2 linked regions of the Caenorhabditis elegans genome follow. The protein of the gene in region 1 interacts with the protein of each later gene in a pairwise test. Each region holds a gene or a part of one and is shown on either strand. Other genes may lie near its edges. The genes, in order: C46E10.8 and lim-4.

Evidence for each region.
Region 2: the proteins of C46E10.8 (region 1) and lim-4 interact in a two-hybrid assay, tested with the Caenorhabditis elegans proteins (one large-scale study listed by BioGRID).

Annotation. Positions count from the first base shown.
Region 1 is NC_003280.10:3,725,248-3,729,876, reverse strand, and holds C46E10.8 (C2H2-type domain-containing protein), read left to right. Parts: upstream 1-1,812; 5' UTR 1,813-1,858; coding exon of another isoform or gene 1,859-2,187; 5' UTR 2,188-2,442; coding exon 2,443-2,508; intron 2,509-2,556; coding exon 2,557-2,613; intron 2,614-2,662; coding exon 2,663-2,725; intron 2,726-2,788; coding exon 2,789-2,941; intron 2,942-2,984; coding exon 2,985-3,083; intron 3,084-3,126; coding exon 3,127-3,207; 3' UTR 3,208-3,555; intron 3,556-3,761; 3' UTR 3,762-4,027; downstream 4,028-4,629. Other genes in the region: C46E10.1 (uncharacterized protein), read right to left, coding at 4,028-4,277, 4,326-4,401, 4,452-4,599.
Region 2 is NC_003284.9:3,868,847-3,875,759, reverse strand, and holds lim-4 (LIM/homeobox protein lim-4), read left to right. Parts: upstream 1-2,215; 5' UTR 2,216-2,464; coding exon 2,465-2,734; intron 2,735-3,162; coding exon 3,163-3,239; intron 3,240-3,285; coding exon 3,286-3,390; intron 3,391-5,202; coding exon 5,203-5,352; intron 5,353-5,404; coding exon 5,405-5,567; intron 5,568-5,613; coding exon 5,614-5,712; intron 5,713-5,760; coding exon 5,761-5,906; intron 5,907-5,949; coding exon 5,950-6,007; 3' UTR 6,008-6,356; downstream 6,357-6,913. UniProt on the Caenorhabditis elegans protein: Transcription factor that binds to the promoter of target genes. Regulates genes involved in serotonin synthesis and release in serotonergic ADF neurons.

The sequences.
Region 1 (4,629 bases):
CGATAATTGCGCCCCACCAAAACACTCTGCGCGGGTTCATTTATTCCTTCACCTCTACTCTCTTATCAATGGACCTGCCTGAAGCTCAAGCTCTTGTGCCAGTTTATTCTCAGGTACTGTAAAATTTTCACAAATTAATTAATAAAGGATCCATTTTTTTTCAGGAATTGCGCAAGGTGCAACAGTTCAAGTAATTACATTCTCAGAAATCTCTGAGCAATCACATACGGAACACCAAATGTGGACTTGGGCTGTCTTCTTACGAAGACGTTAGTGCTTAATAGATAGCGTTTGGCATCATAATCTATCTATCTCTATCTAACTCTATCTAACTTATCTATTTCAGAGGTACACCTGCGAATTCTGCGGATCGAAATACAATTACCAAAGAAGCCTGGTCAGTCATATGAAAAGTCATCTGGAAACTGAAACTGCCGCTTCTCCAGCTCCTATGCAGACCAACTATCTCACGTGTCCTATTGGTCAGTGCGAGATGAAGTTCAGTTCGCAAAAGATACTTCTCGAACATCTTTTCTGTCGCCACATAGGCCAGGTGCAAGAAGTGTAAAGCTCCGTTCGCCAGTGTTCAAGGACTCCTTGCTCATTTCAAAGAGAAACATTGTGGACTGAAGGTAGAATCAGCGACAACGTCAGCAGACGCCGCGCAGAACACTTTAGGGGAGTTATTGAATGCGATGGGAGCTTCTTTGTCAGCAGAAAGAATAGATGGTGGGCCAAGTCAGGAGCTCAGCAAGGAAACGGATTTGCAGGAAAGCTTGTTCATAGAGTCTTCAGCTTTAGCTTCAGCCAATGGATGGCCACAGCTTTCCGTTGATAGTCAAAGTTCGGGCACCAGTGGTTTCCCAACGAGAAGCAGGCTCTTCGAAGAAAAACCATTGACCTATATCAACATTGATTCTCTTCCCTCGTCTTTTAGCCTCACAACTATGGTAAGAGTTTAAATTGTATATTGAGCAAAATCTTTGGTTTTCAGGTATCTACTCCAGCTCAGTTGCTCAGCTCTTTTCCCGGTGTTGCGACAACGCCAGAAGCTTTTTTTGAAAACTGTGAAGGAAAGTTGTGGAATTCCTTGGAAGCTTCTTTGCCGTTGAAGATCAATGATGGAATGCCAAACCAGGAGTTCGAAAAGCAAGCGGATTCTCAGAAAAACTATGGATCACCACAGCTCAGCGGTGCCACCCTTGATGGTCAAGGCTCAGTGAGTTCAAGGCTCAGTGAGAGAAAGCTCAAGTACGCAAGTGATCTTCCGACAAGCAGTAATGTTTGTGAGCCAGCCAACTCATTGAGCTCGACGAGGCACCAAACTCTCACCGGTTCTAATGGGGTAAGGCCAGTAAGTTTAACTTCATGTAAAGAGCTTCTCCCTCTACAACAAACTTTTTCCAGGTTAATCGCCAATTCAAATGTGAAATCTGTGAGAAACAATTCGCCAACAAGCCAAACTTAAACCGCCATCGAAAAATTCATTCTGGAACAAAATCCAAGAAGTGCAACATTTGTCAACAAACGCTTCACAGAGAGAATAGGGTATGCTAACTAATTTCATTTTTATATACTTTTCAGAATTTTCAGCTACAAGAGCATCTGTACACACATCTCAAAGAACGATCTCATTTCGACTGCCCCATGCTGAACTGTTTTACGCAATTTCGGTCTCATTTGGAAATTCAACGTCATCTCGAGCACCACCACCTCGTTTCACCACACAATTTGGCTCCGTGTAGGAAATGTCGCAAGCACTTTGGAACTGCCAAGTATTTCCTGATTCATCACTATTATTATCATTCTACGGTGAGAAAAAACTATATAATGCTTCAAAACTAATACATCTTCTCAGGATCTGACCTCTTCGGCTCCAGCGTCAACTTGCTCAACCAGATGGTCACCTATGACCGTATCAACTTCAGAATCCAGCTCAACTTCAGAATCCAGCTCAGGAATGCCAACACTGCAAGATCCAATTCGACGATGCCCCAATGAGCCTGTTGCACAATGCCCTTCACGCTCCAGGAAGCCCATTCAAATGCTCATTTTGTGGAGCTGAGTGTGAAGATAATCTGGCGTTTACAATTCATATTGTTACTGCCAATCATAATTTTAGTGGACTTTAATTGATAATTTCGTACTGTTAAATAGTTATTTTTCGTAACGCCATTCAATAAATCTAGTTTTAGTTCTCGAGTGAAACTTAAAATTGATATATAATATGAAAAAAGGTTTTTCGGGCGCCCAAAAACTGCCGAATAGTCTTTTTTTGAAGCTTATTAGAAACTACACATATTTTCTTTCTTTCTCTGCGTCTCTCTTTCTGACCTCCCATTTGCCCTCCGCCAATACCGCGCGCTCAATCGATATTTGCCTCCAACACTCCATTCCGTAAAGGGGCATTCATAACCATTTAAATACTTTTTTCTTCTATCAATGGACCTGCCTGTAACCCCAGGTGCTCCCAATTTTGCTCAGTTGCTTGACCCAGTTCATTCTCAGGTAACTTTTTCCACGTTTGTTTTCAAAAGATTCAATTAAAATATTCAGGAGTTGGGCAAGTTTGTCTACCAATGCAAAGCGTGTAGCAGAATTTACGCGAGCAGGGTAAGAGAAAACTTTGCTCCAATTATAGTTCCAATTATCACAATTTCAGAAATCTCTGAAGTCCCACCTGAAGAGCTACAAATATGCTCGGGAAGTCGCTGGATACAAAAGTGTGAGTTTAGTTTTTTTTACTGAACAGAAAATCCCTTTGTGTTGAAACTCTACCTTTTTCCAGAAGCATACATGCGAAATCTGCGGAGCCCATTACTCAAGTAAAATATACTTGAACCGCCATATGAAAAAGCATCTGGAAACTGCTGATTCTGGAGCTCATGCAATTCCCAGTCTGGGCTCACCTGCTCCTTCTTCTTCAGGCTTTGCAACTATGGTAAGAGCTTTGAATTGTGTTGAGCAAACTATTTGGGTTTTAGATCGTTCCACCAGCTCCGTTGCTCAGCGCTATTTCTTCTGGATCTCCACAGCTCGGGGACACACGTGTTCTCGCCTCTTTTTCGTGCTTCGCGCCAATGGTAAGAATTCATTATTGTGGTATGGAAAAGCTTGGATTTTCAGATTTCTCCGCCATCTCAATTGCTCAGCTCCATTCAAAGTGATCAAGCAGCTTCGCAGCACAATCATCTGGAGAGATGTTGAGAGCGATAGAAGCATCCTTGTCGTCAAAAAGCAATGATGGATTCGGCGCGTCAAGCCAAAAGCTCGGCGAGCAGGCAGATTTGCAGAAAAGCTCTGGATTATCAGAGCTCGGAGAAGTCACCCCAGATGGTCAAACCTCTGTGAGTTATTTGAAGTTTTGGCGTTCAACTTAGGCTGACTATTTTTTGGAAGTTTCAAACCCCACGCGCTCTGCCAACAAACAGCAAGCTCTGTGAACGGGGCGAATCGATGAGCTCAATGGGATCCCCAACTTTCAATGCAGATCAGTTACTTGGCGAATCTACCTCGATGTTCCATGGAGCACAGAAACCTCAGCAGCCAAAATTTGTAAGTTGTCAAAGCTCGCATTTCATGAGGGCAGAAAAACACCTTCCTATCTTTGAGAAGGTGTACTTTTGCCACATAGGCACGTATACACCTATGCATCTGGCTGCCTAGGCATCTAGGCACGTAGGCACCTGTGTATCTGGGTACCTAGGTACCTAGCCACGTAGGCCTAGACCTGAAATTTTGCTCTAAACACTTGTTTTCAGGAATGCGAGCATTGTGAAATTGAGTTCAAAGACGCTGTGCTGGGCCAGCTCCACACCAGTTTCCACACGATCGGCAACCCATTTCAGTGCTCACTTTGTGGAGCACAATGCTACAATGAGTACGCCTTCAACATGCATCTTGTCCAATCCAGTCACAATTAGTTTTTGTCTTGCTCCCTGTTTTATATTGCTATAATTAAGCATGTAAAAAAATAATCATTTTCATTCGTGTCCAGAAGTTTGAATTAAAATCGAATAAATCGAATCTACCGGAAAAGCATCAAAAGTACAAAAATGAGCACAACCTTCTTGAAACTAGCCGATGCATTCATCTCCTCATCAAAGCACAAACGATCCGTCCCACATCCTGTCAAATCCTCTTTCTGGCCGAGAGCAGCAGGTGTCGGCTTTTGTGGTGGTATTGGAGCTGGGGTGGTTTCTGCTACTGTCGTTGTTGGCTCAGGAGTTGTGGTAGTTGTTTCGTCGGCCGCGTATTCTTTCACCGGTGTTGGTTGTCTGAAAATATGGATTTTAAATTTGAAAAGTTCACCAGCAACTGCTCACTTTTCACAAATTCCTGCGATTTCACACAGAATTTTGATGTACTTGTGCAAATACGTGACCTCCACCACCTCCATATCTGAAATTTGAAAGATGCTTTCTTGTAGACGGATTAAACCAATTTCTCACTAGATTCGGGGCGATTCTCAATGCTTCTACTAATCACCCCGGCTATAACGGATTTGTTCGTCTCGTGGTAGTGAATATTTCCGGTTACTTCAGGAACACCGGCATAGCAGAACGTAGACTTGTCCACTGGTGAGGAGCAGTTGGTAATCTGCAAGTTATGACGATTTCCATGAAAAAA
Region 2 (6,913 bases), on another chromosome or scaffold:
AATAAAAGTAAAAGAAAGAGATTCAAACATGGATATTGAAAAAAAGTAATTCAGATATACACTATAAAGAGGGCAGACTATTAGTATGGTTTTTTTTCAAATGAAGGAGTGACACGGAGTATCTAAAAGGTTAACAAAGTTAAAGGTTAAAAATAACATTTGAAAAAAGATTTAATCTAGAATTATACGAATTTTCAGGTAATGCTTTTTTGATGTGAAAATGCAATTTGAACTCTGAAAAGTTGGTAAATCAAGGTTATTTTATTTTAGATCAAAACTGAGCGGCTTGTTCGTCGGCTGGTAGATCAAATGTGAACTTTTTAATGTTTCAGCACGTACTGATTTGGAAATTGTTACTTCAGTTGAATAAAACTAGTAAATCAAAAAAAAATCTAAAATTTACCATGTGTTGGCGGAATTGATTTATTGTGATGTGTATTGGATTTTTTGTGTATTATTGTTTCTTATGACACGATTCGTTTGGAATCGTATTAAATAAATAAAAAATAAAAAAAAAATTGTCCACACGTTCAAGAAATACGTAATTTTAACCTACCAGCCGACAGCCGACAACCGACGTCTGAACACTATAAAAATATCTAAATCGTGGCTGGTTTTTTTTGAAGTTTTTTTTCTAAGAAGTATTTCAAGATCAACCAATCAAAATTTTATAATTATTCTCAAATTGTCATTTTCTGATACTGTGAAAAGTAAACAATTTTTTACCAGTGGTTTAGATTTGCTGCATGTTTTTTTTTTCATTTCCAGTCAGTTTCTGGAGCAAAATAACGTCCTATATCTCTTCAGGAAGAGGTTTTTCAGATTTCAATTCCAATCTTCAACCCTCCCACAATCCTAACAACTAATAGTATTAATTTTGGTAGAATAATAAGATGCTTCCAATTTGATGCACACGTGTCGAGTGGAATGCGCCAAATGGTGGTGTGTAGGTGTGCTTCTTCCCCGTCTGTTGTTCTTTTTGAGAGCCCCCAGAGCCAATTCACATTAATCCGATAACTCTTGTTATATATGTATGTGTATCGAATCCGAAAGGATCACTATTTTAACAATAGTCCTTCGGTATCACTACCTCATTCATGTTTTCCTCAGCGGCATCCTATGAAAACGGCAGGCCTGGCAGATTGTGCGACATGAATTGATGCTCATTAGCATGAGACATCCAAGTCCTCAAGACTGGTGGCAGTAACAAGCAAACTAGTCAGGAGCCTCCAATTTTGGTGGCTCTATTATCTGGCCGAACAATTTACCCTTATTGAAACAGATATTAGTCACCTTTTCCTATTTTTTCCGAAAAACTTGGAAACGTAATATGGGATACGCAGTAGCCATGGTTTCATTATTTGAGAGAGGGGTTGCAAAATATCTCTACTTACTTATTATCTTCTTTATGATAATATTTTGCCTCCAAAGCCATTATCACACATATTTTATTCGCAACGGACACCTAGGATCATTTTTGAAACTTGTGTAGTATAACCCCACATTTTGAATACATAGTTCGAATTTATTGTATAGAAAAATACAAATTTCTAAGGCTGAAACGCAATATGTGTATCATTTTAATTAAATTGGATGAAATTCTAGAGTTCTAACATAATTTTTAATAAACAGGATTATAATATTCAAGTCCCATATTGCCTTGCACCCAATTGTTTAATTTTGTCAGCTTTTATCTCATTTTTAGTTTTTTTTTGCATTTTCACTGTATTCTAGAGGTGGACAGCAATTCTACAAAATTACCTATGTTCCATTTTGTTCCAACTTTTTCTATTGAAAATTGATATTAAATTAAGGGAAATTACTTAATTAGTTTGAAAATGACATTCATTGAAACGTTCAAGAAAATGCTGAAAATTGGTTGATTTTCAAGTATCGAATAGTCGAAATATTTAATTTTTCAGGACAGTTTAGAGCACTTTTGAAAACGTTTCAGCTAAAATAAATAGATTTTTTCGGAAAAAAAAACCATCTCAAAATATGCATTTTTGTTCAATGGCCTGGATGCCAGACCATTTCTTAAAATGTTTAATGCTCTAATAAAAACTATCAAACTAATTTTTTTTTTGAAATTTAGCTGTTTATTTATTCATACTTCATATGATATTAATTATTCTCGATATTAACACTTTATTTGCACTTGATAAGCATTAAATAATTTCCTATTGTTATAACTTTAATTTGGGAACTTTCAGATTCCGGAGATCTGGGCTCCTTCTTTTGCCGGACACTCCTACGCAAGCAGCCAACCACATCCGCCTTGCCGCCCAATAGTGAGCATCCCAGTGGGCGGGGCGAGCTTCTAGTGAGGCCTTTTCGACAGAACAACAGACTAGAAGGAAGACTTTTGCGTCGGTGCTCGTCGACTCGTTAGTGGTCCTTGTTGTCTTGTTATCTACAGCTCGGCCGGCAGTTCGTTAAGAAAGCAGCTGTCACAAGTTGCACCATGGATGCTCATCTTGTTCAGGCAAAGAAGACGTCGACGGCGTCTGAATTGTCAGACTCGTCGCTCACGTTCCCCTTCATCGGTGACTATTTGTCGAGTCCTTCGCTCACAACTTCCGACTACGTGTCTGATTGCTCCAACTTGACTGTTGAGGGTCCAGTTCCTGCCAATCAAGAGTTCTCGTCGTCCGACGAGTCGTCAGTCTACATTTCAAGTGCTCTAAGGCTAGCTGATTATGCCTTTACTCCAGATGATAATATTCGAATCAAGGTGAGGTCTAGACTTCAATTTGTTTAATTGTATGCATCAGCTTTTAGTTTTTTTTGCCGATTTTTCAGTCAGCAATTTAGATGGTTCCTGTATTGTTCTGAAGTTAAAGAATTTTGTGAAAAACTGTTCTTCAAAGTTTTTGTCGAGTTCTAGAAAGAAGTTTTTCGTCGGTTTTTGTTTACGAAAAGTTCTTATAAAATTCTTACTACTAAATAAGTATGTTTAATATTTATCTGAAGGATAATAATTTCAATTTCACCACACAAATTCAAAAATTAAAAATATCCACATCTTTTATCCAATTTTTAGTGACTCAAAACTTATCTTAAAAGCAAGATCTTACACCGGAAACGACTTGAATAGGATCCTAATTGTATAGTTTCTTTTCATATGATTTTTTGTCCACAAGACTACTGTAATGGTTGCAGCCTGATGCGGTAATCGTCATATGCACACAATGTCAACATCAGATTCAAGACAAGTTTTTTCTAAGCATCGATGGAAGGTAATATTGAATTGGATTTGAAAAACATTTGAAGACTTTTTTTCAGAAACTACCACGAAAATTGTCTTCAGTGCAGCACATGCGAAAACCCATTGAGCAATAAATGTTTCTACAAAGACAAAACGTTTTACTGTAAAGGATGTTATTTCCGGTTAGTTGATTGGTGATTAGCCATCCCTTGAGAGCACTGAGCAAAGGAAAAAGCTTAGTCAACTTGTTTTGTTTAAATTTAGTAGTGGATAGTCGTTTTCAAAAAACTGAGGAACAAACTTAATCCGAATAGTATCAAAAATAAAAATAAAACATACATGATCACCGAATATTGCCTAACAAATCCTAAAATAACATGTATGAGGCAGTACTTAATGAGGTGCACAGTTGTGCGCGCGAATAAGGCCCGCAGCTGTCAGCTAGGACGAACCTGGTTCCGTTATGTAATATTACAGTAATCCCCCAGTCCTTGGTCTCTCGGAACCTATATATTATCAGATTTGGGGCCGGGGTTTATATTGTTATATTCCTCTCGCTTGGTTTCATCTTTCATCATAACCGTTGTTAAATTGAATCAGTGCCAGTTTCTTCTTGGCTTCCCTCAAAATTCGTTTTAAAAACTCAGTTTGCTCCTAAGTTTGGCTCAAGAAAAAAAAATGAAATAAAACTTGGGACTTAAAGAAAACATTTCAAAACATTCAGAATAGAAGAATCGATAGTTCAGAAAAGACACGGGGCGCGTTAACCGAGTTATTCTCTATATGCTTTGTGCTCCACACATCCTAAAACGAATAAATCTGCGCGAATCCGTTTAAGCAAACGTGGATGTTGTGTGTCTATTCGTGTTCAACACAAAAAGAAAAGAAAAGGAAACTGGTAAAGATGATGCTGACCGAATTGTCTTTGTAAAGAAATAAGGGAAAAAAGTTGAATTTCCTGAATGTGCCACAAAAAGAGAACTTTATAGAGCAAAAAAAACCCTCGAAGGGGTAAAAAAGTTAAGAATATTTGAAACAGTTAAAATTATGGAAACTTTAGAAAAAAGCAAATGGAAATAATTCTCAATATTTTTGAGGCCTACTCCAAACCAACTCCAAACCAACTAAACCTACTCCACATTTTTTTGCAGTTCCTCAATAAACTTCAGAGTGTCTGAAATTAGGCAAACACTCTGACAGGTTTCGGGAATTTTTCATCTTTTTTCTGAAAAAAAATCTGAATTTTTAGACAAGACCAAGACTGTAATGAAATTTTTCAGTCAAAAAATTATTTTTAAAACTTTGCCAGTAATATATATTTTACTTTAAAAATGGCTATATTTATGGGGCCATTCAAGTATTGTCCGAAAATTAAAAAGTGTTGAAAAATGACAAAAAAATTAAAATACATAAAACACGTATTTTAATACAGTTGTGCCGTTATGAATGTATTTAAATACATTTTGCAACATTACTTGAATAATCCCATTACATTACGAAAAAAAAAAATTCGAAACTAATTTCTGAATTGAAAAATGGAAAATTTTCAAATTTCAGCCTAAATTAATAAATTATAATTTTTATCACAAATTTAAACCGTTACAGAAGATTTTCTGTTGTATCTGTAATACCACACAATTTGCTGATCTACCTTAAAGTTTATGGGCTTAAAACACCTGAAAATCATCCAAAAACTGTATACAACTAGGCTTCTTCTTACCCAAAGGAACCCGCTAAAACACCCTGTAACAATTGACTCTTGATTATTCAATTCAAGTGTCTGTTTGATAGACCCCCGCCAGACTTCCGTGTGACAGATGGCTCATCCCAATGTCTCGTGTAAAAAGATGCGGCGACATGTTGCGCGGTGTCGTTTATACAGTACATTTAGCCACTTATCTTCTTCTATTATTATAAGAAACGCTTTTTTGTGCTAAGGGGCTTAAAAGTATGGGAAAAAGCTATGTACATATAAAACCAATTATACTTTTAAGAACGCATGTCACATCAACCGCTTCCAGTTGCAGAGAACTTGGACCCAAGTGTGCATCTTGCGATCGTACTATTCAGGCGACTGATTGGGTACGAAGAGCAAGAAACTATGTATACCATCTTGCGTGTTTTTCGTGCAACCAGTGCAAAAGGTAGGTATTCTAAATTTCATATGAAGACTTTTAATTGACATAGTTATTTCAGACAATTGAGTACAGGGGAAGAATACGCACTTCAAGAGGGCAATCTTCTCTGCAAACAGCACTTTTTGGAACTTGTTGAAGGAGACAGTGGGGTGTCTAGTCAGAAAGCTAAGACTAAAAGGGTTCGGACCACTTTTGCGGAAGATCAATTATCGGTTCTTCAGGTATGCAAGTTACAATTGACGTGAAATAGAAAAATAGTGATTTCAGACATATTTCAACCGGGACAGTAATCCGGATGGTGCTGATTTGGAAAAGATTGCCTCCATGACAGGACTGAGTAAAAGAGTGACCCAGGTGTGGTTCCAGGTAAGATATTGTGCCCAAAAAAATAAATTAAAAAAAATTATTTTAAAGAATTCACGAGCTCGTCAAAAGAAATGGCATCAAAAATCCGAAGGTGACAATGGAGATAGCCAGAGGTCATCTGTGGGGCCTTCCAGTCCTAGTCAAAAATCGGATAGCAGCAGTGAAATGATGTATCCAACTTCTGTAACTACAAGGTACCTACAACCTAAACTTTTATAACTACCTTTCAATTTTCAGCGTGGAAGATGCAATTCCGGACTCAATCGTTATTCTGGGCTCACTACAATTCGATTGAAAAACAATCTCATCCGACTTTCCTCAATTTCAAAAATATATCATCGCTTTCTCGGCTAACTTAGAGTTTATCTTTCCTGTGGAAAATACGCTTGCTTCTAATTTGATAATTTTTTCTGGTCAAAACGAATCTCACCTCTCCCATTATCTAAATCTAAATTCCCATGTCTCAAAACTACGTATCAAGATTTTAAAACTTGATACCACAGTGCAGCTATGTATGTGACATGTACATTTGCATTGTCCCCCCCTGTTCTCTTAATTTCCTATTATACAAGTTATGATACTCGATTAAATTACAGTCTCCTCCATTCTGCTTAGTTTTGAATAAACCTAACCATCTTTGAAAAGTGAACTATATTGTCTAAACCTTATGGCCTTTCAGTCGCCAGTCTCGTCTTAAGAGGGGCATAACCTGTTCATTCAGAAAGGCATCTTCTACTTGCCAACCATGTACACTTCAATTTCACACTTCTTCGCTACTATTCGGTAATTTTTCACTCAACTGTGTCATTTCAATATCTGTTTTTATAATTTTGAATATTCAACTTAGTTATTCCATTTTTGTATTATAATAGACAGTTAGAGAAATCTTTCTGAAAAACTAGCTGTAATTTTAGATGTTTGGAAGAAACTTGAAATTGGATTTTAAAGAAAGTTTGGAGCTAAATTTTTTCAATATTTAATGTTTACAATATGCGGGTTAAAATTCTGATCAGTCAAAAGTGTTTGGACTACTTTATCAGAATCGGTTTTCTTATTTAGTTTTATTCTGAAAATTGATTTTTTTGTCTGAGAATCTGTAGATTTCGCAAACGGTAATTTAACAAAAATCAACTAATGTTTGCAGTCAGTTTCAGTAGGTATTCTATTTTTTGGATTTTTTTTACCTGTGTCTCTTGGGTTT